4 linked regions of the Canis lupus familiaris genome follow. The protein of the gene in region 2 interacts with the protein of the main gene of each other region in a pairwise test. Links are inferred from orthologs where the notes say so. Each region holds a gene or a part of one and is shown on either strand. Other genes may lie near its edges. The genes, in order: PTPMT1, RGS20, HOXA1 and OTX1.

Region 1 (8,620 bases), on a different chromosome or scaffold from region 2:
CTAAATGGTAAAGATAATGTAATAATATGGCAAGTCCTTATAGCACATTTCGTGATAAAAATGGATACAAAAAAAATGGATACAAAAGCTTGGTGACTGGGATGCCTGGGTGGCTTAGCGGTTGAGCACCTGCCTTTGGCCCTGGGCGTGATTCTGGAGTCCCGGGATCGAGTTCCATATCGGACTCCCTGCATGGAGCCTGCTTCTCTCTCAGCCTGTGTCTCTGCCTCTCTCTCTCTCTCTCTCTCTCTCTCTCTCTGTGTCTCTCATGAATGAATAAATAAGTAAAATCTTAAAAAAAAAAAAAAAAAGCTTGGTGACATGATTACAATTATTTTTTTTTATTTTTATTTTTTAGGGAAACCTGGGTTGCTCAGTGTTTGAGCCTTTGGCTCCGGGCATGATCCTTGGGTCCTGGGATCGAGTCCCACATCAGGCTCCCTGAAAGGAACCTGCTTCTCCCTCTGCTTATGTTTCTGCCTCTGTGTGTCTCTTATAAATAAATTAATACAATCTTTAACTTTTTTTTAATTTTAAGTAATCTAAAGTCAATATGGGTCTTGAACTCACAAATCCTAGATCTAAAGTTGCATGCTCTACTGACTGAACCAGCCCGGTGTCCCTACTATGCTTTTTAAAAATGGTACATATAGGGGTGCCTGGGTGGCTCAGTCAGTTAAGCGTCTGTCTGCTTACAGCTCAGGTCATGATCCCAGGCTCCCTGCTCAGTGGAGAGCCTGCTTCTCCCTCTCTTCCTCTGCTGCTCCCTCTGCTTGTGCACACTCTCTGTGTCAAATAAATAAATAAAATCTTTTTAAAAAATTAAAAAAAATAAAAATGGTACATATAGACCACATAGTGTTATCATATGACCGAACAATTCCATTCTTAGGTAGATATCCAAGAGAAATGAAAATATATGTCCACACAAAAACTTGTATATGAATGTTCACAGCAGCATTATTCAAAATAGCTAACAAGTGTAAAAAGTCAAATGTCTGTCAACTGATAAATGAGGAAACAAAATTTGATATATCCGTACAACAGAATACTATTTGGCAATAAACCGTACAATGGAATACTATTTGGCAATAAAAAAATATAGTACTGGAGTGCCTGGGTGGCTCGGTTGGTTAAGTGTCTGACTCTTGATCTCAGCTCAGGTCTTGATCTGAGTCCTGAGATCAAGCCCTGAGTTGGGCTCCATGCTGGGAGTGGAGCCTACTTAAAAACAAAAACAGGGGATCCCTGGGTGGCTCAGCGGTTTGGCGCCTGCCTTTGGCCCAGGGCTCGATCCTGGAGTCCTGGGATCGAGTCCCGCGTCGGGCTCCCAGCATGGAGCCTGCTTCTCCCTCTGCCTCTCTCTCTCTCTCTCCTCTGTGTCTATCATAAATAAATAAATAAATCTTTAAAAACAAAAAAAACCAGTAGTGACACATGCTACAATATGAATGAACCATGAAAACATTATGCTAAGTGAGAGAAACCAGACTCAAAAGACACATATTGCAGTTCATTTACTTGAAATGTCTAGAACAGGCAAATCTATGAGACAAGTAAATTAGTGGTTGCCCAGGGCTGTGGGGAAAGGGGATATGGGACTTGGCCAGGGGCGGGGTATGAATAAATGATATGTTCTAAAATTGATTGGGGAAGGGCACCTGAGTGGTTCAATTGGTTAAGCTACCGACTCCTGGTTTCCACTCAAGTGGTGATCTCGGGGTCATGAGATTGAGTCCTGCATCCAGCTGCAAGCTCAGCAGAGTCTGCTGGAGATTCTTCCTCTCTCTGCCCCTCCACCCACTCTTGCTCTTTCTCTAAAATAAAAAAAAAATAAAATGTGATAATTGTACAGCTCTGAATATACTAAAAACTATTGAATTGTACACTTTAAATGGGTGAACTGTATGGTATGTGAGTTGTATCTCAAAGCTGTTACAAAAAAATTTTCTAGTGGTACAGTTACGAAATTGAAGGAAAAATACATGTAGGGACACCTGGGTTGCATTGTCTGAAGGTACAATGAGCATCTGCCTTTGGCTCAGAGAGTGATCCTGGGTCCGGGAATCGAGTCCCATATTAGGCTCCCTGTGAGGAGCCCGCTTCTCTCTCTGCCTATGTCTGTGCCTCTCTCTCTCCCTCTCATGATAAAAAAATAAATCTTAAAAAAAAAGAAAAAGAAAAAGAAATATATCTGTGGTGGTGAAATTATGGATAAGTAGAGGGGCACCTGGGTGGCTCACTCAATTCAGTGTCATCCTTCCACAGAGGTCATGATCCCAGGGTCCTCGGACTGAGACCCTAGAAGGCTCCTTGCTCACCAGGGAACCTTCTCCCCTGCTTGTGCTCTCTCACTCTCTCTGCCAAGTAAATGAATGAATAAATCTTTAAAAAAATATATGGGTAATTCGAGTAAGTTCTACTTCCCTGTATTTTCCAATTGTTATTAGTATCTATTACTTTTTAATTTTTTTTCTTAAGTAAACTCTAATCCCAAGGTGGAGCTTGAAATCACAATCCCAAGACCTGCATGCTCCACTGACTGAGCCAGCCAGGCGCCCCAAGTATGTATTACTTTTACATGGAGAGAAGAAACTTTTTTTTAAAGAAAGTACCAGACGCCAGACGCCTGGGTGGCTCAGGGGTTGAGCGTCTGACTTTGGCTCTGGGGGTGATCCTGGAGTTCCAGGATCGAATGGAGTTCCACATCGGGCTCCCTGCAGGGAGCCTGCTTCTCCTCCCTCTGCCTGTGTCTCTGCCTCTCTCTGTGTCTCTCCAGAATAAATAAATAAAATCTTAAAAAAAAAAAAGTACCAGACGCAAATAAAGAGCATCAGATGTAGGTTCCACTTAAATGTAAATAAGCAGCATCACAACCATTCCTCTTACCTCTCTGTAGGTTGTGGTTTTTACGTTTAAGCTTATCACAATATGTTCTTAATTTATCTTCATAATTAGATTTTGTATATATGTTGTTAGAGATTTTATTTATTTATTCATTCATTCATTTATAGATCTTTCATTCATTCATTTACTTATAGATTTCATTTTTTTATTCATGAGAGACCCAGAGAGGGAGGCAGAGACACAGGCAGAGGGAGAAGCAGGCCCCTGTGGAGAGCCCGATGTGGGACTCGATCCCGGGACCCCGGGATCACGACCTGCGCCAGAGCCACCTCGGCTTCCCTAGAGATTCTATAGATACACTTTTTCTTCATACTCACACACCCTGGGGTTCGGGCAGGAGGAGGGCGCAGGGAGTCCAGGCAGATGGGGAGGGCGGGACCCCGTCCGCCCTCTCCGCCAAGGTAGCCCCGGCCTAGAAGCTCAGCGCCCCTTCTTCAGCCCTCCCCTCAGGGTCTCTTCCCCGACGGGTCTCCCCTCGGGGGGGTCGCCGCCCCCTCCCTGCGGCGCGGGCCTCCCTCGGGTGGGGGGAGGCCGCCGGCCGCGGGCAGGGGCCCCCGTGTCTCGCCCGGCGGAGCCCCAGGCCTCGGGCCCCGCCGTCCCGCCCGCCTGGGACTCCCCGGGCCCTCCCCTCGGCCGGCGGCCCCTCCTCCCGGACCATGGAGCCCGGCGCGGGCGCCTCGGGCTGCGCCGCCGAGCGCCGAGAGGCCGGGCCCGAAGCCTCGGCGCCGGAGGGGCCCGCGGCGACCGCGGCGCCTTCGCGGGAGGCGGCGGACGAGTGGCCGCCCTCGTCCCCGTCGCCCTCGGGGCTCCTCTCGCGGCCGCGGCCCGCGAGCCTCGGCGTGGGTGAGGCGCGGCTGCCTGAGGCCGGCGGCGGCAGGATGGCGGCCGGCGGGTTGCTGGAGGCCGGCCTGGCCCGGGTGCTCTTCTACCCGACGCTGCTGTACACCCTGTTCCGCGGGAAGGTGCCGGGCCGGGCGCACCGCGACTGGTACCACCGCATCGACCCCACGGTGCTGCTGGGCGCGCTGCCGCTGCGGAACATGACGCGCCGGGTGAGCGGCGCCGGGGGGCCGGGCCGGGAGGCCGGGCCGCGGCGGACCGGGAGCCGGCGAGCGCCGCCCGCGCCCCCGCGGCCCTCCCTGAGCCCCGTCTTTGCCTCGGCAGCTGGTTCAGGACGAGAACGTGCGCGGGGTGATCACCATGAACGAGGAATATGAGACGCGGTTCCTGTGTAACTCCTCAAAGGTGAGGGGCCGGGGGCGGCCGGGGGCGGAGGGAGGCGTCGCCGAGCACCCGGCCCCTGCGGTCGTGCCCCGGGCGGCTCCTCCGCTTCGGGAGCGGCGGCCGGAGGTAGAAACTAATCGTGAAAGAGAAACCCGTGAGAAAGGCGTTTAAAAGTAGAACCAAGTCTGACTACTCCTTTATGCACAAAGGTTTTCTTAATTTCCGGAACTCGAGTCAGTAACCAAATCGGAAGGCCGCTTTCCCAAGGCTTGCTGATTGCATTCATTCGACACTTAGCGCTGCCGGGCAGTCCGTGAGGCACCCAAGACGGAGACCCTATAAACCAAGAACAAAAGCCCCCTCTCGGTCCCCAAGGGTAATTTATCATAAAACAATCCCTTGAAAAATTATACAGGCTTCAATTTTTGGCATCGACTTGAGGGAATTGTTATTCTATATGTTAATGATAGAGTGGAAGTGTTGTCACAACAGAGTTCAGACCTAAAACAATTTTTTAAAGATTTTTAAAATTTTTTACTTATTCATGAGAGGCACATTGAGAGAGAGAGGCAGAGACACAGGCAGAGGGAGAAGCAGACTCCATGCAGGGAGCTTGACGTGGGACTCGATTCCGGGTCCCCAGGATCAGGCCCTGGGTAAAAGTCAGTGCTATACCGCTGAGCCACCCGAGTTGCCCCCTAAAACAATTTTCACTAGGTTTCAGTGCTTGTGGAACTCTCCACAACAGTCATCAGACATGGCCCTATCTTTATATAAAGATGTTGCCCTGAGACGCCTGGGGGCCCAGTCAGTTAAGCTTGGAACTCTTAGTTTTTCCCTCAGGTCATGATCTTAGGGTTCTGAGATCAGCCCTGCCTCTGGCTCCCTTTTGGGTGTGGAGCCCGCTTAAGACCGCCCGCCCCCAAAATAAATAACGATGTTGCCCTGTCTTTATTGCATTTGACATCTTTTAGCACTCACTACATAGTCCTCTTTCTTGTTTACTGTTGATATAGCCTGTTGAAGATGCTGTTACTTCAACTGATAGTTTTTGTAACCTTAGAAATGGACTCACATTTAAAATATATTCATTAGTAATGACATACATTTCTACGAAATCGATAAGTTTCTTGGATTTCCCAAAGTACTTTGCTACAAGGTTTCAGGAATTATTAGCCAAAATGTTAAATGTTCCTTAGTGTGGTCAGTCCTGTGGAGTAAGAGTCACAAAAAATGCTTGGTCTTTGGGTCTGAGGCATTGACACTTGTATGATGCAGCTATAGTACCCAACTAGCCTAGAGAAAAGAGATCTCCAAGGCAGTGCTTCTCACATTTTAATAAACATAAATATTATCTGGCAGTATTCAAATAGCAGATTCCTAAGTACAACCCCCTAGAAATTCTGATTCAGGAACTTTAGGGTGGGGTCCAGGAATCTGAATATTTAGCAAATATTCAGGTATTTCTGGCATAATGGATACAAAGCCCCATGCTGCAAAATGCTGTTCTTTTGTTAATTTCATGAGCAGTATATGACCTTCCCTCTGTCATAAAGTCTTAAGTCATAAAGTTCAGCCAAACAAATAACCAAAAGAAAATTAAATGGGGCAACTGGGTGGCTCAGTTAAGCCACTGCCTTAGGGTCACGTCATGATCTCAGGGTCCTGGGATCAAGCCCCATGGTGGGGCTCCCTGCTCAGCAGGAGAGCCTGCTTCTCCTTCTCCCTCTGCCCCTGATGGTGTGCTCTCTCTCTCAAATAAATAAATGTTTTTTAAAAGAAAAAAGAAATAAGCAGATTAATAACTATTAGCTGGAGCCTATCTGGAGTTTTGTTTTTGTTTTTGTTTTTTTTTTTAAGATTTTATTTATTCAGACAGAGGGGCAGAGACATAGGCAGAGGGAGAAGCAGGCTCCTCGAGGGCAGCCCAGTGCAGGACTTGATCCCGGGACTCTAGGACCACGCCCTAAGCCAAAGGCAGATGTTCAATGACTGAGCCCCACCCAGGCGTCCTTTTTTTTTTTTTTTTTTTTTTTTTTTAAGATTTTACTTTTTAAGTAATCTATACCCAAGGTGGGACTTGAACTTACAACCAGATCAAAAGTCACATGCTTTACTGACTGAGCCACCCAGGCATCACCTTATCTGGAGTTGTCAGGCAAAAAATTAAAAAATAAAAATAAATTTTATTGATATGCCAGAGGCCTTATTTCTCCTGTTGCTTATTCTTTTCTTCTGAAGTGATAATGTACTAACAAAGATAGGTGTGTTGTTTTATTTTTATTATTACTATTTTTTTTAAGATTTTATTTATCTGAGAGAGAGAGTATGCGTTCACAGGAGAGCACAAGTGGTGGAGAGGGAGAAGGAGGCTGCCCGTTGAACAGGGAGCCTGATGTGAGGCTCAATGTGGGGCTCAATCCGAGGACCCTGGGAGCACAACCTGAGCTGAAGGCAGATGCTTGCTTAACTAACTGAGCCACCCAGGCACCCCAGGTGTGTTAATTTTGAAATGGTAACTTTATTTTCTACCATGTACTCTCTCAAAAAAAAAAGTGGTAAAGAAGAGACTTATAGACAGAAAAATAGAAAGCTCTTGCAAAATTCAGTAGCCCAACCCTGCAGCTGGGTCACTGCACAGGTGCCAAGATTATGCAAAAAGTTACACAACTTTTGTAGATGAATTTTATACAGCTAATATTTTGTAGCTAAAGATTCAAATACGGGTGTCTGGTTGGCTCAGTTGGTTAAGCATTTGTTTTCTGTGCAGGTCAAGATCTCAGGGTATTAGGATCAAGCCCCCACATCTCCCTGCTGGGTGGGGAGCCTGCTTCTCCCACTACCTCTGCCTGCAGCTCCCCCTGCTTGTGCTCTCCATGCATGTGCTCTTTCTCAAATAAATAAAATAAAAAGATTCAAATACCCAAAGGGTACTTTTTTTTTTTTTTAATTATTATTCATGGGAGACACAGAGAGAGAGGCAGGCTCCATGCAGGGAGCCTGATGTGGGACTCAATCCTGGGACCGGGGGATCATACCCTAAGCTGAAGACATGCTCAACTGCTGATTTACCCAGGCATCCCCCAAATGGTACTTTGGGAACATTTAAAATCTTGAACATAATTCTAACTCAGTAGCACAGCTGTTGTTTGATAAAAGACCAGCAATGCGGGTTATCCATTTTATAGACATCTCTGTAAGAAGTTTCTTGTTTAGAAAATAGTAAACATCAGGCTTTTTTCATTCTTTTTTTTATGCTGGTGGACCTGGTTCCAGGAATGGAAGAAAGTAGGAGTCGAACAGCTGCGGCTCAGCACAGTAGACATGACTGGAGTCCCAACCTTGGCTAACCTCCAGAAAGGAGTCCAGTTTGCTCTCAAGTACCAGTCGCTGGGCCAGTCTGTCTACGTGCATTGTAAGGCTGGGCGCTCCAGAAGTGCCACTATGGTGGCAGCATATCTGATTCAGGTAGGAAAGGTCTTTCTGGACTGGTTTATATACAGCATATTTCTAGAACTTCAGTAGCATGGTCTACTGAAGGCCTTGTTGGAAGGAGCCATTTCAGGCAGTCCCCAATATCAGGCTGTTGGGAGGTGGAAAGCACCTGAAGTTTGTAGATAGGCTGACCTCTGGCTTTGCCACCTGCCAGCTGTGTGACGTTAGGCAAAAGTGGCGTCCCCTCCCTGATCCTCAAACTAAATATGTCTTGAAGCTTGAATGAGAAAGAATGTCAAGCACTGACCTATGGCAGGCACTCAAAAAATGAAGTTGCAAAAGATGTTAACACTAGTAAAAGGCTAAAATAAAAACACTTCTTATAAATAGCATGTCAGGAAATCTAGTATTGTAGATAATAGTGCTGGTCACTTACAGCTTTGTAGGACTCAAGATTTCCTTTTTTTTTTTTTTTTTTTAAAGATTTATTTATTTATTTATTTATTTATGATAGGCACAGAGAGAGAGAGAGAGAGAGAGGCAGAGACACAGGCAGAGGGAGAAGCAGACTCCATGCCTGGAGCCCGATGTGGGACTCAATCCCAGGACTCCAGGATCGCGCCCTGGGCCAAAGGCAGGTGCCAAACCGCTGAGCCACCCAGGGATCCCCCGGACTCAAGATTTCTTAAAGTAAAAAAAAAGTAAAAAAAAAAAAAGATTTCTTAAAGTATTTCAGGATAAAGTTCTGGACATCAGTTTTTAGAAACAGGATCTAACCGAATTTTGTCTATCACTTTATGATTGGCAAGTGTGAGGCTTTTAAAACTATTTATAAGCAAATATTCTCTAGTCATTACTCCTTGTTACACAACCCCCAACATGACTTATTCTTATTACTGTCTGGCCCCTGTAGAGCATTTACTAAGTTATGTGGATAGTTTAAGGAAAAAGGAAATGTTGAGGTAACAGGCCTGGCTTTGAGTTGCTGTGGACTGGTAAGTACGTGATTTAACAATATTAAAGCTTTGATCATTAGGACTCCATTTACTGGAAA
Region 2 (7,823 bases):
CCCCGCAGCCGGCGACTCCGAGACACCCACTCCTGCCTGGGAGCGCCGCCTCCCGCGGGGCCCGTCCCCGCCCACTCGCCGCGCTCGCCCGGTGCCCGCCGGTTCCCGCCCACCCCGGCTGCGCACCCAGCCCCGCCCGCAGGCGCCCACCCGCTGCGGCGCGCAACCCCCCCGGGGCCTCGGGGCCCCTCCCCGCCCACCCCCCACGGCCGGGGACCGGCCCGGCCCCGCGCGCCCACGCCCCTTCCAGGGTCCGCAGCCGCGCCGCGGGGACACGTCCCAACTTACCCGGAGACTCAGTCGCCGGGGTTTGTTCAAGAGCAGCAGCCGCGGCGCCCGCACCTCGCGCCTGGGCGCTCCCGGCGGGTTCCGGGAGCCTGAATGCGGACACCGGGTCAGACCCGCTCCCCGGCGCCACCGCCCCGGCGGCGCTTTTCTTACGGAGGCTCCGGGATCCAGGGAGTGTCTCCTCCCCCCCCGCCGGCGCTCCGGCTGCGCGGCCCGCGGAGGATGCCGACGTTCCCACCGCCCGGAGTTCCCCAAGCCTACTTCGGGAGGCTTCCAGGGCTGGAGCCCAGGCCGCCGTGGTTGAGTCGTGCGGACGTCCCGGTGGACCCGGCAAAGCTGATGCCGGCGGCTGGACGCCCCCCTTGAGACCCAGGACACACTGTGAGCCCGGGCACCCCCGGGACGCGCCGACCGATCTGCGGGGCTGCAGGGGCCGTGAGGCGACCGACCCGCACCAGCTCCCGCCACCGCGGCTCCGACGACAGCTCCCGGTCCTGCCCTGCGGGCGCGCCCCGCCTGGCCGCCGCCCCCTCCCAGCCCGAGGCCTTCGAGCGAGTCCGAGCGGGGGCAGGGGGCGAGGGTCGCGGTACTCACGAATTCGCCGTCCGCTGGGCGAGCCGGAGGGGAAGCTCGGGCCAGCTCGCCTCGGTCGGCCGTGCGCATGCGTCTAGTGGGTGCCTTTTTTTTTTTTTTTTAAATATTACAATACCACCTGGTAGCTTTACTTCGCCCGCGACTGCTCGCCTCGGTCTTTCCTCTCACCTTCTTCTCCGTCGCTCGGGCTCCCTCGGCTCTGCCTCCTCCCCCCCCGCCCCCCCCTCCCCCCCCCGCCTCCCCGGCCGGGCAATCCCGGCCTCGCCTCCCTGCTGCCGCAGCGCGCTCCACTGCGGCGGGGGCTGGGGTCGCCCCGGGCTCCCGGAGGGCCCCAGCCGGCGGCGGGGCTGTAGCCCACTCCCCCAGCCCGCGGTTGGGCCGAGCCCGGCGTGCCGGCACTAAGCCAGGCGAGCGCGGCGAGCGCCTGCAGATCGCCTCTGCCCCCCTTGGCTTGGGCGCGCGCGGGCCGAGCGAGACTCGGTAGTGCGGGGACGCGTGCTCAGACCTGGTGAATGGAGGCGGGCGGAGGGAGGTGCGAGCGGAGGGGGTGCTCCAGCCCCGGAGAGTCACGCGGCGGACCACCCGGCGTCTGGAGGGCAGCCCCCTACCTTCTTCCTCGCCTCGGGTGCTTCTCCGAGCTCTGCCCCCGTCCCACCCTGGTGATGCCTCTGCCTGTCCCTCACTGGCGACGAGCTCCACGCCCTCGGCCGCCGCAGCCCGAGGCCCCACCAGGTCGACGGTGGGGGTAGGGGCGAGGCGCTTGGCTAACTCCGGATTCCGGATCCCGCTGAGCCCCCTGGCAGCTGCCTGCCGTCCCCCGGTCTCCGAGCCCCAGGCGTAGGGAGAGACCTGGGGGCGGGGCGGAAAATACGCGGCAGCTCAGCTCCTGGGGCACAGAGCCCCGGGGATCCCCGTAGGCCCCTCTGTGCGCCCTCGGGAGCGAGGCGCGCACGGACCGCCGGGGCCCGAGCAGGAGGTTGGAGGGCCAAACTGAAGCTGGAAGCTGACCTGACACAGAAATAGCATCACGTCATTTCCTCCCCGGCCTCCAGAGCCTGCGGACGGCCAGAGGGCAGGGGAGTGGGCGCGAGGAGGGGCGGAGGCGCGTTGCGGGGAGGCTCGGAGCAAGGGGTTGAGCCGCACGTTAAGAAGGAGAGTTTGAGAAGCAGCCTCAGGAAGGGCGAGGACTCCCTCCCGCCTCCACTGCTTCCATTCACACTGGATGGAAAAGGTCCAGGAAAAGTAGCTACCGGGGTCCGCTGCGAAAAGGAGTGTCAGCCGAGGCGCCGGCGCCGTTTCCTTGAACGTGCTCAAGCCTCTCTTAACCTTCCCACCAAAACTCTCTGCCTCTGCCCCCACACCTCCCGCTCTGGCCCCTCGCGGCGGAGCCCCTGCTGGCCCGGCGCGGAAGGGGTCAGTCGGGGTCAGGAGGGAGCTGGGGGTGCGCGTGTCCGGGTGAGGTCGGGGGTGGGGCGTGCTGGGGACCACAGTACTCACGGGCACGGGCGAGCTCTGCCCCGCGCAGGCGTCCTCTTCCCTGGGCGCGCGGCCCCCCGGGGGTCGGCTGGGCAGGGCCAGAGCTGCCCCCAGCAGGAGCGAGAGGCGGCCTGGCCGCTCCCCGTGGCCCCGCGAGAGCCTAGCCGCTGGCAGAGAGCGAACGGAAAGCAGGAGGGAGAAGTCCGGGCGCCGCTGGGGAGTCCCAGAAGGGGGTCGCCGGAGAAGGTGAGAGAAGAATCGCGCGAGGCCAGAGAGCGTGCCAGACAGGAGGCTGAGCGGCTTCGGGGCAGCGGGCGAGTCTGGGAGCTGTGCAGGGTCGGCAGCAGGCAGGGCAGGAGGTAGGGGGAGAGAAACAAAATCAACACACCGTTACTGTTGGCTCTAGCTACAGATAGAAGAAAATGTGTATTTACTATCATTTGCTACAGCATTTTGAGGCTGTATTTTGGGGGTGCAAGAGAAGGTAGGCGAGAGCAAAGGGAAAGGCCTTTGGTTAGATTCTCCTTCTCTATTCTCTCCTCCCCCCTCCCCTCCCCCCTTTCTAAACTCTGTGCTACTCAGTGTGGTTCTTAGACCAGCAGCTTCAATAACAACCAGGAGCTGGTCAGAAATACAGAATCTGGAACCCTGTCCTGAACTAGAGCATCAACATGTGAATGTTAACATTCCCAGTGGGGTTTGTATGCACCTTACATGTGAGATGCAGTGTAAAGAAGCGTCTGTATTGGTGTTTCTTGGTTCTTTAGGATTTCCTAGTGAATGAAAATTCACTTTTGCAACTCTTGCTCATCTCCCATTTTCCCTCTGACCTTTCCCACCTCCCAAAGTGCCTAGAGTTCTCCCTGCTGAGTCATAGAAGTTAGACTTGGTTACTAGGTTCCCTTGTGAGAGGTGTCTAGGGGAGAACTGATTAATGGCAGAGGACTGAGCAATCCGAGACCAAGGCTGGGTGGAACAAGGGACTGGCTGATTTGGCTTTGGCTGTACACGTTGGAGTGGGCAGGATACTAGGACTGTTTTGGGTCTCATAAGTGCACACTATGCAGGGCCCCTTTCCACACTCTCATGTGTCCATCTTATTCTCAGGAACACAGGCCTTTGCACCTTCCACTTGTTGCGTGGGATATCAAAACAGCCAGTGTGAAGGTAAAATTATTATTATTTTCTTTGAAAGTAGAGGGAGGCATTAATTTAGAAGTCAGAAACCCAAGGTTCTAGACTGAGCCTTGCAACTAAGTCCACTGCTTAACCTTGGGAAAGTCTCTTTATTCTTTGAATTTATCTGCTTCATTTATAGAGTAAAGGGATTGAACTCTGGCTTTTTAAAGTCACCTGCCTAGTCAGGTCTCATTTTTAGAGCTTCACGGTCCACTAACATTTAGAGAAGTTACAATCCAGAACCTAACTCAGCCAATACAAACAGCACCCTCAAGCAAAACAAAAAGACAATTTAATCTGTTTGTGAAAAACAAGAGTGGTGGTTGCCAAGAAATTGGAAGGTGGAGGCGGGAAGCAGCGAATAAAAGTGACAGGGTGGCGAGGCACGGGAGGGGGCTAGGCTAGCGGGGCGGGAAGCGAGTCCCCAGGGCGCGGCCGCCGCTCTCCAGGGTCCTGAAGGCGGGAGCGGCCGCGGGCGGCCTCCGTGGGCTTGGCTGCGTTCCCCCTGCTCCGCAGTTGGCAGGCCCCGCATGTTTTCTTTGGGCGGTAGAAGTCTTGTGGGAAGCAATTGTCGAGAGGGAGGGAGGAAACCTAGCAACCCATTCTCATTCATGAGGCCCTTTCTGGGAAGCCGCCGAGCGCGTTGGCCGATTTGTCTTTCGGTCGTTTGTATGCGCCCGGGGAGAGAGTGGAGCTCGGTTTGCATTTCCGAGTAAGTTCACACTGTTTCGCTTCCCCTGATTACCTTTTCCTGGAGAATGGGGTCTTTCTCCTAGAATTTTCATTCTCTCCGTTCAATTGCTTCTTTCCCCTCCCCTGCTTTCTGGCACCGTGCGTTTATTTTAGGGATTGGAGCTGAGAGCCCGGGAGGCTCCTGGAGGAGGGCCAACAGCGCACTCGAGGCGGGGGGCGGGGTGGGAGGTGGGGAGGTGGGGAAATGAGAGAATTGGAAAATACTCAGAGCGGGCCTCGGCGCCCAGCTTTGGTCTCGCGGGGGAGGAGGCAGGGACGAGTCCCTTGGTCTGGGGTTGGGGTGGGTGCTCAGGAGGCGCCAAGCGAGCTCGGACGCCGCGGGCAGCTGGACTTGGACTGATCGCAGTTCACTTCGTGCGCACCTGCCGGTGATGGTGGGCCAGTGGCCGTGGCCGCGTCCGTCTCGGGTGAGCTGCCGGACGACAGCAAAAACCTAAGCGGATGCGGGCACGGGGGCCTGAAGGACCCCATGGAGAGGAAGTCAAGAAAGAACCGGTTCAATCCGTGGTGACCCAGAGCCTGACTAAGCCCGCCAGCGACCTTTTCCGACCAGCCTTCATAGAAAGGCTTGAGCAAAGATTAAATCGCTGGAAATGAGCAACAGGTACACTTTCTAAGGGCCCAAAGGAGGCTTCACGGGACTTCTGTGGGTCCCAGAATTTGCATCTCCAGCTCATATTTTCAAATGGCTTTGTGAGAATGTGTGAACCTATAACCTGACCCTTCTCTCCTCCCAAGTCCTTCTTCCCAAGTCACTTGCACGTCCTCCCCGCCGCCCCCCCCCCCCCCCCCCCCCCCCCCCCCGCACGCTTCATTAGGCATTTTGCTTCGGTCTTTGCTTCAAGACAGAGACGCTTGTGAGGGAAATAGTGGAAATGTTCAGGCAGAATAAAAGTCCCAAACTCAGCCCCAGAAAACCAAAGCCCCTGCTCCGCTGCTCCTTTGGAGACAGTCAGCTTTTACCCTTCCCTAGGTTGGTCTTTTCTCTCAGGTCTGCTCTCCAATTCTGGCTTGTGTCTGGACACGCCGCAGTCAGAGCAAGTCTGGGCAGGGACGACTGGCTTCTCTAACAAGCAGGGGGATGAAGCATGATAGTGTAGGGTGCTGAAATCCTACTCCCTCTGGCTCTCCTGGCAAGTACAGAGCCCTGGAAGTGTCAGTGGAGCCACAAAATTTGATCTGATAAAATTATCTGAGGAAAGACTTCTGCTGCCTGCCGTGCTCCAGAAATCCCTGTCTTCCTTTTAGGCCAGATTCTAGATGACAGTCTGAGGGTTTCACTAACATTTTGCACAAAATGAAATCATCTTGGAATCTGTATTACTGAAAGCATCACTCCTTAGGGATCCAGAAGACTTAGGGAATACTTTATAAAGATCGAATATCCCCTTCCCTACTTAATCATATTGGCTACGAACCCTGCAGAGGAAAAAAAAAATCACCACACCCAAATCAATATACACAAAGTCTCACCCCTTTAAAAGGCAAATTGAAGTTTTGCATTCACCCCTAAATAGCATCATTTCATAAAGGAAGCATTCATGGCAGGATTAAACTACTTTTAATAAAAAATTTCTGATAGACTTTAGAATTAAAATCACAGGATGGAATTTGAAATTAGATTTAATTTTATGAGAGGACCTTTTTTTTTCTGGACTCCTTTTTTTTAACCTCTGTTTTGCTTTGATTTAGCCATATTACACATTTTTATTTTTTCATTATTTGGAGAAATAATTCCTCCACTTGGATCTAAGAATCTAATTGGCAATGATTTAAAAGTCTAATACGGCAAGTCTTTGCTTGTGCTGACTTTAAATCATGCAGATTGGAAAATGGCAAGATAGAAGATAGACAGATCATGGATAGTAGAGTCACAGGTTAATATTAATTTGAGGCCAACCAAACAATGATGTTTCTATTAGGTTCTGCTTCAAATCTTGATGTTCTTAGTGAAAGTACAACTGTTAAAAAGAATATCTCTGTAGCTCATAATTAGTTTTGACTTCATTCTTTTAATAACTTTCTAGTGGGTCTATGCCTAGGGCTTACATGGAGGTGTTACAAGTAGATGTTACATACTGGAGCATTGGTAATAAGGAGGGGGGGTGGAACTGGGAACGGAGGGGACCAGAAATGAGGGCTACTTAGGTGACAGGCATGTCTGGGGGAGGGAAACACTGCAGGCTGTCTGCTCAATTCTTTCAGAGATAACTGGGCCCTTTGCCTTCCTGCTGGTGTTCTTAACCAAGTGAGGAGCTTAATATAGGAGGTGGGTCTTTATTTGAATCTATGTACATATATTTATTTGATTATACACAAAACTGAACTCTTGGTATTCCACTCCAAACTTTCTGCTCCACCTCGGTGAATGGCCACTTGATCATTTCAGTTCAGGTCAAAACCACTGGAGTATCCCTGCTTCTTACATTCACAGTTATCACTGTGTTATAGGATGAATTGAGTCTCCCTCAAAATCGTATGTTGAAGTCCTAACTCCCTAACTCTCAGTACTTTAGAATATGGCCTTATTTAAAAATAGGATGGAGCAGATATAATTATTTAAGATGAGTCATGTTAGAATAGCATGGGCCTCTAATCCTATGTGACTGGTATCCCTATAAAAAAGGAGAAATTTGGACACAGACACACACAGAGAATGCTATGTGAAAATAAAAGCAGTGATGGAGATGACGCATCCACAAGCCAAGGAATGCCAAAGATTGCCAACTAACCATCAGAAATGAGGAAGAGGCATAGAACAGATTCTCCGTCTCAAGAAATCTGGCCACGAGACTGAAACATAGAAACCCTGCCTCAAAAAAAAAAAAAAAAAAAAAAGAAACCCTGCCTCAGTTTCCAGCCTGTTGACTTATCCTGCAGATTTTAGATCAAGACTGAAACATCAGTTCTAACCTGAATTTCCAACCTGCCAGTTTACCCTACAGATTTGAGATTTGCCAGCCAACATGATGGAATGAGTCAATTCCTTAAGATAAATCTCCCACTCCCTCACCATCCCCTTTCCTTCTATCCTCTCCCTGCTACTCTCTGTCATCATCTGTCTATCACATATATATCCTATAGGTTCTGGTTCTCTAGAAAATCTTGTCTACTACCCTTTGATATAGGTCTTATCATCATTCATCTGGACTTCTGAATTACCCTTCTAGCCGGTATTTCTACTTCCCCTTTGCCTCGTTTCTCTCATTTTGCCTCACATCCCTTTAATATTGAAGCTAGGATTTTTCTTTAAAATGTAGGTCAGGTTATGCCACTCTGCAACTCCAAACTTTCTATTGGCTTCTTATTTTGGAGTAAAATCCAAAGTCCTTACACTAGCCCTTAAGACACAACATGAATGGTCCATCCTACCGCTAAGATCTCCTCTTCCTGTAGAGCTATTCTTGCAATATTGGTTTTCTATAACACTTATTACTATTTGGCATATTATGTATTTACTTCTTTTTTTAATGATGAAGTAGTAACTTTTTTCTCTTTTGTTCATTGCTATGTCAATAATGCCTAGAACACTG
Region 3 (7,440 bases), on a different chromosome or scaffold from region 2:
AGTCCCTTACTGAGACTCTTGGCCTTTTTTAATATATATCACTAAAGTGCTATTTTTGTGTTTTCTATCTTTTGTTGTTTCAGTCACCATTGCTGTCATTTTTCAGGGAGCTAACCAACCATGCTCCTGAGAGACCAAAACAAAAAAGAGACCTAGAAATAGGATGTGGTAAGCGCCTCTGATTTAATCGATTGGGACAACTAAAAAGATACAAATGTTTTCCTGTTGAAGGGTATATTAATGTTTCCTAAATGCATTGCTTGTTAACTGATTTATTCCACGACCTAGAGAAGGCTTTGGATGCTTAGCCATAATTTATTGTTCTCCCCTTTCTCGGCTGCATTAAAACCAGCACCTCGAAGACTGGAATCTCCAGGATTCCAGCGGGTCCGGCCCTGCTTTTAGATATTGAAATTACGGCAGTGGCATGCAAATGACACTTTAACACATTAAAGAATTTGGAAACCAGCCATCTGTTTTGCTGTGTGGCCTTACACTAATAAACAAAAGATACTGTATAAGGCCAGGGTGGGAAATGAAAGAAAGAGTTGGCCGACTTTGAAGTTCTCCATCCACTTGAGTCTTTTAGAGGCAACCGCAGAGCCCAGGATCCAAGAGCCAAGGGGAGGGCAGCGGGTGCCCTTGATATGGCCGCACAACTGCGCCTGCAAAGTCCAGGCTTGCCCCCTTTGACAGGGAAGTACAGGAAGTCTCATGGGTGCTCGAGGAGACCTGCAAATTCCAAGTTTTTGTAGGATTTCTCCTCCCACTGCCAGCCCATCCTTTGTGAAACACCCTTTGTAGAGGAAGAAGGTCATATGCCTGTATTTGTGATGCTGTATCTCTGCTCTACCCTTGGAGCTCAATTAAAGCCTCTGAAAATGTGCGAAGGCGAAGGAAAAGTGGTAAGAGATCTGGGAGGAGAGCCATTTTGAACACTTTGATTTGCTGGCTTCCTCTGTTTGAGAGCAGACACTTGCCTCGGTTGGAAACAACTTGAATATTGAAGGACTTCCAGGCATCTCTTCTTTATGAGCTCCTGGACTCTCCTTTCTCTCTATCCTACTTTAAGGGCCAAAGTAGGGGAGAACTGTTAATATACAGATAGGTAAAAGATAGGCCTCCCTCTGACATGTTTCTGCTGGCAAAGGAGACTATATTCCAACTGCTGGAAGCATCTGTCGAGCCCAGAGAAGAAAATAGAAACTTTTTTTCTGGGTTAGGGGATTAGAACTGGGTTATGGATTAGAGCAGACCCATTACAGCCGAGGAGGCTATGAAATCAAAGCTGAATCTGATGGGAATGAGATATGTAACCCAGAGGAGCTGGGCAGGAGGGCCTGTAGAGAGTGGCAGGAAGGGAAGGGTACTGACAGGAGGGACAGGAGGAGAGAGGCAAGGGTTTCCTGAAAACAGACCATACTCGATTTAGAGGATGGAATATACTGGAACACTGCCTGACAAGCAGAAAAAGAAGAGGGTTAAAGTGGAGGCCTTGCCCTCAAACAGCTTTATACTGGAGCTCATTAAATGTGAATCCCTTAGCTCTTGGTTCACTGATGTGAGGAAAGACGGACTGAAGAGTTTGGGCTTTTGAAGGGCGTTCTGTTTATACATACGTCAACATTCAGTTGGAGGTGAAAAGGTTAGCACTTGACCCAGGAAGTATCCATGTTTCTTTCAAAAATAGATCTGCCTTATAAATTTCTTCACCATCCATTTTTTTCCATTATGAACTTGGATTATAATAAAGGAACTATTGTTATTTTAAACAAAGTCAACCTATTAAATAGGCATTCGCTAGGTGCCATGACACTCACAGGGGAAGTTTCAGCTACATAATGGAAAGCCATTTACTTTTTTTTCAAGGAAAGGCCCACCTCTGAAAGTGCACACCACCCTTCCCCAGCAACCATGTGAAATGAGCCAATCTTGTTGGAACCAACAAATTGCAGCCAAGCCAAATACAGGGATGCTTAAGCATATGTGAAACTTGAATATATTTATTACAGACATCTTAAGACCCGTAAACTCTGCTCTGGATCACATTACTCCAGGATCACAGAGCTGTTCATGATTGTACAGGAAAGGGGGAATATCATAGACTCACAAAGAATAACTGATATAACTCAGTGTGGTACTTCAGGGACATGAAAACATTGTGCGACATGCAAAAGACTATTCACGAATCACACAAAATATACATTCATTGTGCCATCCATCACATTAACAAGTGAGCTGAAAATACATCATATCCAGCAAAGATAACTGTGGAAGGAAGAAGCTGGCTTGAATAATACCTTTAGGTTCTGAATAACCCAGCACAAATTTTAAATAGAGTGTGGCCAGAGAAACAATAAATGGGGTGGGGATGGGGAGAGACTTAGCACAGGAAGCAAGGTTTTCGAACCTTGTGTTTTTTAGGTCTTCCTAACTCACCAAAAGAACAAATGCAGGCTACCCTCTGAGGCATCTGACTGAGTTTAAGTAAGCAATTTTATTCTTTAACCTATAATCACATATAAAATTGTACCAGCTTTGAGTTACCCACCCTGTTTTAATCACTTAATCTAAACATTTCTAGAAAATCTGTATAAAGATAAATCTCTCAGGACAAAGTATTTACAACCAGCAAACACACACATGAAATTGAATTAAATTAAGGGATGAATTAATTGTGTAAACACGCTCATAGTGCATCTCTTCTTTATGAGCTCCTGGACTCTCCTTTCTCTCTATCCTACTTTAAGGGCAAAGTAGGGGAGAACTGTTAATATACAGATAGGTAAAAGATAGGCCTCCCTCTGACATGTTTCTGCTGGCAAAGGAGACTATATTCCAAAGGACATCTAAAAGGAACAGATTCTGTGGAAATCTTCCAAAAGTAGGGAGGGGTGTTGGGAGCCGTCAAAAAATTGATTATGGCACCTAATCTGCATCAAGGAGTTAGCACACACACACACCTCAATCAAGCCTCTAATCTAGAATTCTCTGGAAACACACTGTTCTGGCCAGGAGCTCCCCAGATAGGATCAGAAAGGAAGAGAGAGACTGTAAATGGAAGGGAAGATAAGCTAAGAATGTGCTTTGGGTAAGAAGTCCCCAGCCCTCAGAGTAGCCTGGGTTGCGGAGTCTGGGGCTGGGTGGGCCTCAGTGGGAGGTAGTCAGAGTGTCTGAGGTAGAAGACCCCGGAGACGGAATGCAGGGCGAGGAGCTGGATTTCTCTGAAGATTCCTCCGCCTTCTCCTCACTTCCTGGCGGGGTGGCAGGGGAGATGGGCAAAAGGCCCTCTTTCTCTCGTTTCTTCTGCTTCATCCGGCGGTTCTGGAACCAGATCTTCACCTGGGTCTCGTTGAGCTGCAGGGATGCTGCGATCTCCACCCTGCGGGCGCGGGTCAGATACTTATTGAAGTGGAACTCCTTTTCCAGCTCGGTGAGCTGCTTGGTGGTGAAGTTGGTACGCACTGCATTCGGTTGACCCACGTAGCCGTACTCTCCAACTTTCCCTGGGGACATGGTGGGGAGCGATGAGAGAGAAAGATAAAAATTTTTACCGTCCATATGAGATCCCCTATATGCTTCAGAGCAACATTCAGGTAAAGGGGAGATCAAGAATTTCTCAACAGAAACTGGGCTGGGAAAGGAGACTGATGAGGTGTAAAGTGTTAATCTGAAGTCAACCATTTGCATGGTCAGACTGGTGATTAATGGAGCCTGGAGATATTAACAGAACCACCCCCCAACCACCACACAAACACACACCCCTACCCACTTCCTACTCCAGAACCTCTAAAACTCAGCCTCTTGGGAAACACAACACTCCCAGATGCTCCTTTGCCCCGATACACCTGGGCACTCTCTCCACACCCTACAACACCGGTGGGAAGAAGCAAGAACTTTTCTTGAGTATTAATTTTCCTTGGCAACTAAGCAAACTAGCTCCTTCCAGAACCATCAAGGAACATCCAAAGAATGGCAAGACTGACCTGTTTTGGGAGGGTTTCTTTTGACTTTCATCCAGTCAAAGGTCTGTGCTGGAGAAGAGGTCTCTGATGTAGGGGAGCGACAGGCTTCTTGGTGGCTGGCGTGGAGAGGGGACAAGGAGTTATTATACGTGGCCAGGGCCAGGCTCTGGTGCTCTTGTCCATATGAGTGGTGAATGTACTGAGGCGAGCCCACCGCGCCCCCGGCATAACCCTGGTGGTGGTGGTGATGCTGGACCATGGGAGATGAGAGATTTCCAGAGTAAGCTGCGGGAGCGCACGAGGGGTACCCACCACTTACTTCTGCTTCCTGATTTAATGCGTAAGGGCTGTAAGGCGCGCCGAAGTTCTGCGCGCCATAGCTTGGACCACAACTCGAATGGGAGTAGGACACCCCCAGGTTCCCGGGAGTCTGGTAGGTGGCCGCTTGGGGGTGGTGATGGTGGTGGTGGTGGTGGGGCGGGCTGATCTGCACCCCCCTGCCCACTAGGAAGCGGTCGTCGCCGCCACAGCTGTTAGCACTGACCGCGCACGACTGGAAAGTTGTAATTCCATGGTCGGAAGGGTAGGCTCGCGCTGAGCAGGTCCCTGAGTCGCCACCGCTGAGGATGGGGTATTCCAGGAAGGAGCTCATTCTTGCATTGTCCATCTGTCACTGAGGGACCGGGTCCTGCGAAGCCCTGGGTGACCGTGCCAACTTTCTCACTTCCTCCATGGGGCCGGAGAAGAAAAATGATATGAATGTACAGTGCGCAAGAGGGGGGGCGCGAGGGCGGAGGGCGCAGGGGGAGGGGCACGTGACTCCGCCAGCCAATGGCGGAGCCTCCTGCGAAAGTTTGCTGGCTCCCGCGGTGATGGATCACCGTTTCAGTGGCATTTAAATCCCCGGCGCTGCTCAGTCTAGGTGACGCGCAGTCGCCCCCCCAGGCAGCCCAGGCGGCGGCGGCAGCTGCGGCGGCTGCAGGGGCAGATTCGGAGCGCTGGGCCGAAGGGGAGCAGCCGCCACCCTCTGCGCGCGCCGACTGCGCTCTCCCCCCCTCCGGGAGGTGGGGGCTGGGAGGCATCCCCGTCTCCGCCCCCTCCCCACCGAGCACAGAAAGATGAACTGGCGAGAGGTGAGAAGGGAAGAGGGCTCCGTCTCTCCGGGGTCGGGAACCAGCGGGCCAGAGCTCGCCGCCCTGCCACCAGCTCGGGGCCCGAGCTCGCCGTGCGCGGAGCAGGAACGGCAGCTCCCCGGGCGCTTTTCAGTCCACAGTCCCTGCTGCGGTGCCGGGGCAGCGAGAAGCCCAGGGGACAGTGGCGTAGGACGAGGCTGGGCCACCAGCTCTTCAAGCTCGGAAGGGAGAGGGAAGTGGGCAGAGGATTGGCCTGCAGGACCCCAGGTGGGCGTGGAGGGGACAAGAGCAAGGGAGAAAAAAAACAAAAAAACAAAAAAAACCCTCCCTTCTCCAAGGAGGGTCTCCGAACCCTACTCCCTCCACCCTAACATTATTAGCAAGGCAATGAGAAGCTTCTGTAATTCGACGCCCGGGAGCGGGTGATTGGTAGTATTTCAGCTGGCCGGAAAAGGCCGGGGGTGGCCGGGCTCTTCGCCCTCCCTCTCTCCTCGCTCTCCGCCCCTTTCTCCTCCCCACTCGGCTTTGCTCCGGGAGCCCTACGGGATCCGGAGCAGCTCGGCCGCGGGATTTTGAAGGGTTGGAGGCGGGGGAGAAAGATGACGCTAGCGGACGTGGCCAGCGTGGGGGCCGGGCGGTGCGCTGCAGGCCATCTGCCGGCTCCCCCGGACCCAGGAGTCTGCGCGCTCCGGCAGGGGCCTCAAAGGGCGAGCCCGCAGCTCCAACAAAATACGCTGAGCTCCCCCCGCAACGGTGCTCGTTTTCTGCAGGGGGGATGTTGGGAGTGGTAGGGCCTCCTTTATCCACTGACCGCCCCCTCCCCTTTCTACTGCACGTCTGAGGTGGGGGGTAGGGGCTGGCAGGTGGGAGGGGCGGGGGACAGATGGCTGATGGTGGACGGGATATTTTCTTCTTCCCCAACACCTCCTCCCCTTTGTAACTGCCTGTGTAGTTCCTTGTGTGAACCTTCAAGTCTTTCCCTAGAGAGACACGTGCAAATCTGAGCGTCATCCCAGGCCAGGGGTCCTGTTTTCCATCACCCTCATCCTACCCTGATGCTGACGGGGTCGTTAATTGCTGTTTACTATTAGGTTTCGTGTCAACCCTTGGCTTGTAGAGAGAAAATGCCAAACTGAGACCGAGGATTGATGCATTCTTAGGTAAAAGAAATCCAGAGATCATCCAAGAAGCTTTGCAGCCAATGCAGCATAGATTTGTCTCTGACCCTGTGTACCACATCGGAATCGAACAGATAAAAGTAATTTGAGGATGGGGTTCCCACTCCCCTCTAGCTTTCCTTCCCCAGTTAGAAGAAGAAAGTTTTGCTCGAGGCAGGCACATTTCAAGTGTGTTAGTCAACCTTTCAGGGTTCTCCATCCTGTTCTCCACTTATAGAAGGCTTCCCCCCTCCCAAGTCGCCCCTTCCCCCAGGGGAAACTCTTGCAGAAGTCAGACTACGGATTCCCTCAGTAGCAAAGAAACATTTCCCCCCCAACATTTCCTTTTGAAATGGTATTTTTCAATGACCTTTGACCTATCCCCAACCCCGGTTAAGAGAGAGCATGGACAGGAAAGGTCACTCCTGCCCCAATTTCAGCACCTGGGGACGTTCATCTTCGAGAAGGGAAAAGGAAAGGCGGCCCTTCTGGAGGCGGCTTCTTTGGGAGCTCCAGGCTTCCAGCGACGGGGAGAGGAGGGGCTCCTGTCGGGAAGGAGGTGGAACGTGAGAGGGTCCGTGCTGGCATTGCGGACGATCTGCCTTCCGAACCAAAGGACGTCCTTTCCCCTGGCCTCACTCCTTTGTTGGCTTCTTCAGCCCGGGTTTGCGCAACCCCCTTGGCCGCAGGGCTCGCGCCACAAAGCGCCCCGGGCCGCAATCGCTCCCCTTCCTCTGCTAGTTCTCGGCCTCTGCGCTCCACTCCTTCCACTTCTCTTCCTCCCTCCGGGCCTCATTCCAGAGCCAGCACGGGTGGGGGTGTTTTTCTTGGGACCACATGCATGCGCTTGCACACAGGCCCGCAAGCGCTCGGGGCCGCGACCGACCCACCTCCGCGCACTGCTCCCGGCTCCCGGCTCCCGGCTCCCGGCCCGCCGGACTCTCGCAGCCCAGCCGGCTCCGCCCCGGTTGGCCGCCCGGAGCGCTGCTCTCCGGTGTGGCTTACAAAGGCAGGCTCCCCTGGCCTCGGGCCCGTAAGGCTTCCGTAGCTCGGTTCTTTCCCCACCCCCACGAAATCCTGGGGCTCACTCCGCCTTGCAGAAGACCCTGGGCCTCGGGGCGTGTAGGCCAGCGCCCCACGACTCGAGCTGAAGTCCCTTTAAATGCCCCGGGAGAGAGAGTGGGC
Region 4 (6,532 bases), on a different chromosome or scaffold from region 2:
GAGGGTTGTCTGCTGCCAACATGCAGGACACGGATCGGGTTTTTTTTTTTTTTTTTTTTTTTTCTTTTTGTCGTTTTGTTTTCTTTTCCTTTTTGGCTCGGCTCTGAGAGCATTACAGAGCTATCCTTTCCCGCCTCCCGACCCTCTTCCCCTCCCCCTCCTCTGTCTGGTGCAGGCAATTAGGGTGAAGAAATCAGTGCCAGGTTCCTGCCTCTGAAGAGAAAGGAATTGCTTCGGGAATTGAGTCCTGACACCTGTCTCTGTCCTGGAAGGCGAGAGGGGATGCGGGGTCAAAACGCCTGGGGGGGGGGGGGGGAGAGGCCCAGCTGACCGGGAGGGTAGGATCCCTCCCCAAGAGAACGTCCTCTGGACACTCCTCCCTCCCTATCGTTCGGCCTCCTGCTTCACACAGGTCATTAACACGCGAGGGTATTAACTCGAGAGTTTCCCCTCCTTTTAGGCTCCCCGAGACCAGGACCTGGGGCTGGAATCAGAAGAGCAACACTGACAAGCCGTTCATTAATTTGCATTTATTTTCGGGAAATAATGTAGATAAAGGGGGAGGAAGGGGGACTGCCTTACATTTCAACAAGTAATTTGTGATCTTCACATCGGACAAATCAAATTTACAAATTACTTTCCCACCTACTGGACGAAAAGGCCAAAGCCAAAATTGATACACAGGCGCGGGGCTCTCCGCAGATTTCGGAGGAAGAAGGTGCACTAAAAACTCACTAGACAAAACAGGGTTGTTTAAAGAGAGAGAAGCCGACAGAGGAATTGGAACTGGGGCTTGGGGCCTGGGTTGGTTGGTTGGTTTTTCCTTAATGCCGTATTTTTTATTTGTTTTTTGTTTTGTTTATTTTGTTTTGTTTTCTTTTGTGATTGGTCTCTAAACCAGAACTGGACGACCCTGTGCTTCGACCTGGGGAAGGGCTTGGTCCTACGTCCCCGCCCGGCCTAGCCCCCTCCCCTGTACCCTGACTTGGCTGTTGCCTCCACACTCTCTGGACCCTCCCGACCCTCAGCGCCCAGCTTCCTGGAACCAGAAGGTTCTCGTTAATAAATACACAGAGGGAGGAGGTGTGAGAGGGCATGTCAGCTTTGCAACAACTAAAAAAAAAAAATAAAAAATAAAAGCGCCATCGTTTAAGGAAGAGAGAGGAAGGGGGACAGAGGGAAAATATTTTTTGCTTTTGTTTTATATATATGTGTGTATATATATGTATATATATGCTGTATATATCTTAGAGTTCTATTTCCTGGGCGCTAAGACGAGATATGTTCAGTTCAACCAACAGCAACTAAAAAGTTTAAGTGGTCCCTGGAACGGACCCGACTATGTACAGCATTCCCGCCGAGGCGGAAGCTTGAGCCAGTTCTACGCAGGGCGGGGCTGTGCGCGAGAGGCTGGGGGCGCGCTCCTCCCTGGGGCCTTGTCCCAGCGCAGCCCGCCGGGGAGGAGAAAGCGCGCGGAAGGTCTGGCCCGCAGGCGGGGAGCGGGGCCGAGGGCAGCCGAGGGAGCGGTAGTCTGCAATCGAGAAACACTCAGAAGTTGTCTTGATTTGGGGCAGAGTGGGGGTGCGCTCCAAAGGGCAGACACATGCCAGTTAGTGACTCCAGTGTCCAGAAAGAATAAATAAAAGTGTAGGGCTCAAACAGCGAGTCAGAGCAACGAGCCTCCGAAGGCTGCAAGTGCATAACGACTGCCCAGAGAGACTGGAAGAGAGCGGCTTAGGAGTTCGTTGGGGCTGGAGGAGGAGGAGAGCGCACAGCCCTCCCCACGTGGGCAGAACTTGTGGGCCAGGCCGGGGCACCGGTCTCCTCATCCGAGGGGTGGGCGGGTCTGCACATCCCCCAAACAAGTGGCAGAACGAGGAGGGCGGCAGTGCAGGCAAAGGGCATCTTTTAGGGGCGTGAAAATTCAGGTCTGCAGAAGCCGAGGCAAAGGCGGGCGGTGCAGCAGCAGCAACAGGACGGGGACCACGGAGGGCGCAGGTAGTTGCGTTTCTTCTCTTCTTCCTTCCACTCCTGGGCTCACAAGACCTGGAACCGCCACGAGGCTTGGTCCTTATAGTCCAGACAGTCGGGCGAATTGAAGTTGAGTTTCCAGGCGGAGGAAGCGGCGGCGGCCCCAGGCTCCTTGTAATCCAAGCAGTCGGCGGAGTTGAAGGCGAGCCCCGAGCCGCCGTAGCCCTGGTGGTGGTGGTGGTGGTGGTGGTGGTGGTGGCCCGAGGACTGGCTCAGCGGGTGGTGGGCGTGCGGGTGGTGGTGGTGGTGGCCGGCCATCGAGGAGGGCGCCATCGGGCTGAGCTGGTGCGGGTGGTGATGCGAGTGCATGGGCGCCAGGTACGAGCTGCAGTCCACGCCGCCGAAGTAGGAGGAGGAGGGCGCGGGGTAGCCCTGCGCGTAGCTGCCGCCCTGGCTGTAGGACATGGGGTAAGAGGCGGCGGCCGAGGCGGCGCCGGCGGCGACCGAGCGCTGCATGCAAGACGCGTTGCTGGGCGCGGCCAGGGGCTCGGGCACCGACACCGACGCGGGCGCCGAGCCCGGGGAGATGGAGGCCGGACTCCAGATGGACGAGGCGGCCGGCGTGCTCAGCGACGACGGGACGGCCACCGCCGGGTTCCCGCCCAGGCCTGCCGCCGCGGCCGCCGCCGGGTTGGCGGAGGCGCCGGATCCCGAGCTGGAGGACGAGGCGGAGCTGGACACGGCGGGCGGCGTGAACTGGCCGCTGCTTTCCGAGCCCGAGCTCTCCCGCACCGGGGACGACTTCTTCTTGGCCGGGCGGCTCTTGGTCCCGCTCCCGCTCTGCTGCTGCTGGCGGCATTTGGCGCGGCGGTTCTTGAACCAGACCTGCAGCGGCCCGAGGAGGGAAGAGCGGGTCAGGGGGCCCCCGGGGCTCGCGCGCCGCCCGGCCGGGCCAGCCCCCGCCCCGCGGGCCCAGCTCCGCCACCCGCCCCATCCTCCTGGTGGAAGATCCTCCGGGAAGTGGGGCTGTGCACCTCCCCACCCCCAGCGCGAGTCCGCCCCCGGGCGGGACGTCCGCGTCCGTCCAGCCAGAAGTCCAGGCATCTCTGAGCTGCTGCTGCTGCTGCTGCTGGCCGCTCCCCAACAGCCCCGCGCACGCGGGGAGGCCCGTCCTCTCTGAACAGGGCGCACGACGCGGCGGAGGCGCGAGGGGCACCGCGGGGCGGGGCGGGGCGGCCACCGCGTCCGAGGGGGAGCCAGCCGGGGCCCGGAGGCCCCGGCCTGGGCCAGGCGGGAATTTGGGCGGCGGCGGCGGCAGGCGGGGAGGCCGACCAGAGGCCGTGCCCTCGGGGCGCCCCGGGAGCAAGCCCGAGCACAGTTTCGTTGGGCGTCTTGGCTCCAAGTGGGGAGCCAAGTGGCACAAAGTTCTCACGCCCCTTGGAGGGCCCCGGCACAGGGCTAGGGCGTTCTCCCGGTTCTTTCCCGGGCCTCGAGGGCAAGGGAGGCGAGATAAAAGGCCCTTGAGGAGAGGTCGGAGTTATAATCCAAACAGGACTTTTATCGCAAAAAATCAGAAGCAAGGCCCGTAGCCGGGTTTTGCGTTTGGCATCCTCTCGGGGCGAAGGGAGCGTCTCCCCAAACCTGCGCCACCCCCGGGGGCGCGCCCCGACAGGGCGCCAGGCTCCGGCCAAGCCCCTCTCGGCCGCCTCCAGGATCCCGGGGACGCGGGGCGAGGGCGGAGGCCCAACTCCGCACCCCGGGCGCCTGGCGCTCGGGAGCCCCGCCTGCCCTCCCGACAGCCTGAGGACTCCCAGCTGCAGGCGGCCGCGGGAGGCGGCCAGGGCAGGGCTCGGAGCGGGCCCTCCAGCGGGGCCCCTCGCCGGGCCGGGCCGGGCCGGGCGCTAGGGGGAGTCGGAGAGGGCCTGGCCAGCCGCGGGCCCGCCCCACCGCCCCACCGCCCCACCGCCCCACCGCCCGCCGCCCGCCGCCGTCCCGACCCTCCCCGGCCCGCTGCCCCAGGGCCCGGCCCGGCTCCGGAGCCCTGGGCACGCGCACCTGGACTCTGGACTCCGGCAGGTTGATCTTGAGCGCCACCTCCTCGCGCATGAAGATGTCAGGGTAGCGAGTCTTGGCGAAGAGCGCCTCCAGCACGTCCAGCTGCGAGCGTGTAAAGGTGGTGCGCTCCCGCCGCTGCTTCCGCGGGGTGGCTGAGGGGACACGCGGGGGCGCCTCGGGTCAGCGGTGGCCACGCGGACCGCGCTAGACGACGCAGACAGGCCCCCGGCAGGGCTCTGTGCGAGGCCGTTGCAAAAGCAAGCCAAGCTCCAAGCGAAAGAAAACTCCCCCAGGAGGCCGAGCCTGAGAGGCCACAGGTGGGAGAAAGTGCATGTGTGCGACTGGGAACCAGTGTCGTCAAGACTCCAGAATTGCCCCCTTCCCTGCCTCTCGGAGGTTAAGAAAGGAAAAGAAGTTATACAATCCCCCTTCTTTCACCACCTCCCCCCCAACACATCCCCTGGCTGGAGGATGGGAAAGGGGTGCGCAGACACACCACCTGGAAAACGCTTTCCGAGGGAACAAGTGGAGATGAAGGAGCGGGAGCTGGGGCGGGGAGGAGGCGGCTCAAGCCTTCCACATCCACGGTGCAAAAGTTGGTGCAGACAGCGGATGTAGAGGACAATTCAATTAGGGAGGGAGAGCCCCTCTTCTTCGTCTCAGCCAGTCACTTCTCATAAGAAAAGCCTGGCCCTTCCTGTCAGGGCCTAGAGAGTGTCCAAATCTCTCTTTCAACATTGGGAGGAAAGGAATAGATTCACACACACACACACACCCCAAAAAAGCCACCCATGAGAAACGAATCCTTGGGTAAGTGGGCCCTGTGCTGGTGGTGGGACCACAAGAGACAGATTGCCCAGCTTCACTGGCCTGGCCTGCCTCATGCACCCGCCACTGCCCTGTGAGCCTGCGGCGTGCAGAGCACTGCAGGCAGACCCGCCATCCCACTCCCCGGGCCTGCTCAGACACCGAGTGTGCGCTCAAACTCAAGAGTCTGGGCGTCCCCAAGATTTGCAGGGGCTGGGGGCAGGGACTGGTGCTCACCCGGGTAGCCCACGGAAGGGTGCAGGAGGTCCATGGCTGGCCCGGCCAGGCCCAGCCCGTTCATGCCATATGGGGGTTGTTTGAGGTAAGACATCATGCTAACAGCCGGGTGGAGGCGCCCGGACGGATCCAGGGGGCCGGGGCCAGGCGCAGTGCGGGGCTCCCACTGCGCAGTCCTTCAAACTCTGCTGCGTCGGGGGGCCCGGCCTATGGAGACAGGAGACACAGGTAAACAGTGACTGGGAGCCATCTCGGTTTCCTGGTCTCGTCGGAGGCGAGCAGCCGGGGGCTGGGGAGGGCACGCAGGCCTGCGGAACTCGGAAGGGCGGTCAGCTTGGCTCTACAAGGCCTTGGCCGGAAGACCACAGCTTCTTTGAAAAGTCAGCTTTTCTGGATCGTCATCGCCTCTTCTCAGGCGTGGAATGGGTAAAAGACCCTCGTAGGGCGTCGCTAGGAGTGCGGAGAGGCTAAAAGCAGGGCCAAGCTGGAAAGTGAGGGCCTAAAACGCCCGGCGTGCAAGGTCCCAAGTCTAGGCCAAATTCTGGTCGGGTAGGAGCCGGCCTCCATACTGCAAGAGCAAACGTTTACTCGGCGCCAGTGAGGCAGGCTGCCCAGGGCACCAGAGGTTGTTTCGTTTCGTTTCAAAATGTTTTTGAAAAGCGGGATGAAAAGGTGGAGGGTCGGGGAGAGCTAAGGTGAGGCGCCGCGGGAGGCTAGCGGCACCTGGGCCTCTCCGGGTGGCAGGGCCCACTTAGGGTGCGCTCCTGCAAGGGTGTCCCCGCTGGGTCTGGGCCCCCGAGCCCACGGCCACCCTGCCAGTTGACCTCCCTGCGCCCGGCCGCGGAGAGGCCGCTCCCCGGGGAGCCCAGCACACCTGGGCCACAGTAACAGGCCCGGGCCCACGGCGGCCAGGAGACGCGGACGCGGGGGCCGCGGGGGCTCCAGGGCGCGGCGGGGGGTCAGGGGCGCCCAGGCCCCGCCGCAGGCCCCCTCCCCGACAACGCCCGCCGCCGCTGCTTTCTGCCCGCTGCTGGCTGCTGGCTGCTGGCTGCGGACAGCGCGGCCCGGGCGGAGGCCGGAGGGCGGCCCGCCCGGCGCCCCGAGGGGTCGCGGATCGGGGAGGCCCGGGCGCCGCGCCCCCGCGTGCTCCCGGCCTATCCCGCCCGCCCGGCCCGCGGCCCAGGACCCTGCCCAGGGCCGACGCGACTAGGCCTCGGCGGCGCAGCTCGGCTGACCCGGGCCGCCAGGTCGAAGCCCGGCTCCCCGCTCGCCTCCCCCCGCGGCGCCGTTCGCAGGGGCAGGGAGTGGAGCTGGGGGGCGCGGCCGCGGCCCCGGGGGACCCTGCGCTGCACCCCGCGTCGCGGGGGATTCAAAGCAGGCCCGGGGCCGGGCTGGGGAGTTCGGGGAGGGCGGGGAGAGCCGGGGCGGCCTCCCGCGCCCCTCCTCCAGGCCCCACGGTCTG

Evidence for each region.
Region 1: the proteins of RGS20 (region 2) and PTPMT1 interact in binary tests that used the Homo sapiens proteins (3 or more experiments, as listed by UniProt). The two-hybrid records come from large-scale screens. The link is inferred for Canis lupus familiaris from reciprocal best matches to the Homo sapiens genes RGS20 and PTPMT1.
Region 3: the proteins of RGS20 (region 2) and HOXA1 interact in binary tests that used the Homo sapiens proteins (3 or more experiments, as listed by UniProt). The two-hybrid records come from large-scale screens. The link is inferred for Canis lupus familiaris from reciprocal best matches to the Homo sapiens genes RGS20 and HOXA1.
Region 4: the proteins of RGS20 (region 2) and OTX1 interact in binary tests that used the Homo sapiens proteins (3 or more experiments, as listed by UniProt). The two-hybrid records come from large-scale screens. The link is inferred for Canis lupus familiaris from reciprocal best matches to the Homo sapiens genes RGS20 and OTX1.

What each region holds. Positions count from the first base shown.
Region 1 is NC_049239.1:42,509,835-42,518,454, reverse strand, and holds the start of PTPMT1 (phosphatidylglycerophosphatase and protein-tyrosine phosphatase 1), read left to right. Parts: upstream 1-3,757; 5' UTR 3,758-3,785; coding exon 3,786-3,959; intron 3,960-4,071; coding exon 4,072-4,152; intron 4,153-7,407; coding exon 7,408-7,599; intron 7,600-8,620. UniProt on the Homo sapiens protein: Lipid phosphatase which dephosphorylates phosphatidylglycerophosphate (PGP) to phosphatidylglycerol (PG).
Region 2 is NC_049250.1:5,841,920-5,849,742, reverse strand, and holds part of RGS20 (regulator of G-protein signaling 20), read right to left. Parts: intron 4,494-7,823; coding exon 4,485-4,493; intron 4,250-4,484; exon of another isoform or gene 4,165-4,249; intron 2,695-4,164; coding exon 2,380-2,694; intron 1,883-2,379; exon of another isoform or gene 1,388-1,882; intron 1,076-1,387; exon of another isoform or gene 1,051-1,075; intron 1,039-1,050; exon of another isoform or gene 952-1,038; coding exon of another isoform or gene 883-951; intron 694-882; exon of another isoform or gene 289-693; intron 1-288. UniProt on the Homo sapiens protein: Inhibits signal transduction by increasing the GTPase activity of G protein alpha subunits thereby driving them into their inactive GDP-bound form.
Region 3 is NC_049235.1:40,361,578-40,369,017, forward strand, and holds the end of HOXA1 (homeobox protein Hox-A1), read right to left. Parts: 5' UTR 7,304-7,440; coding exon of another isoform or gene 6,654-7,303; exon of another isoform or gene 5,285-6,653; coding exon of another isoform or gene 5,172-5,284; exon of another isoform or gene 5,030-5,171; coding exon of another isoform or gene 4,911-5,029; exon of another isoform or gene 4,818-4,910; coding exon of another isoform or gene 4,797-4,817; exon of another isoform or gene 4,689-4,796; 5' UTR 4,633-4,688; coding exon 3,987-4,632; intron 3,507-3,986; coding exon 3,151-3,506; 3' UTR 1,984-3,150; downstream 1-1,983. Other genes in the region: WAS/WASL-interacting protein family member 1-like, read left to right, coding at 4,797-4,817, 4,911-5,029, 5,172-5,284, 6,654-7,303. UniProt on the Homo sapiens protein: Sequence-specific transcription factor. Regulates multiple developmental processes including brainstem, inner and outer ear, abducens nerve and cardiovascular development and morphogenesis as well as cognition and behavior.
Region 4 is NC_049231.1:64,121,916-64,128,447, reverse strand, and holds the end of OTX1 (homeobox protein OTX1), read right to left. Parts: intron 5,680-6,532; exon of another isoform or gene 5,278-5,679; 5' UTR 5,168-5,277; coding exon 5,071-5,167; intron 4,179-5,070; coding exon 4,027-4,178; intron 2,857-4,026; coding exon 2,038-2,856; 3' UTR 519-2,037; downstream 1-518. UniProt on the Homo sapiens protein: Probably plays a role in the development of the brain and the sense organs. Can bind to the BCD target sequence (BTS): 5'-TCTAATCCC-3'.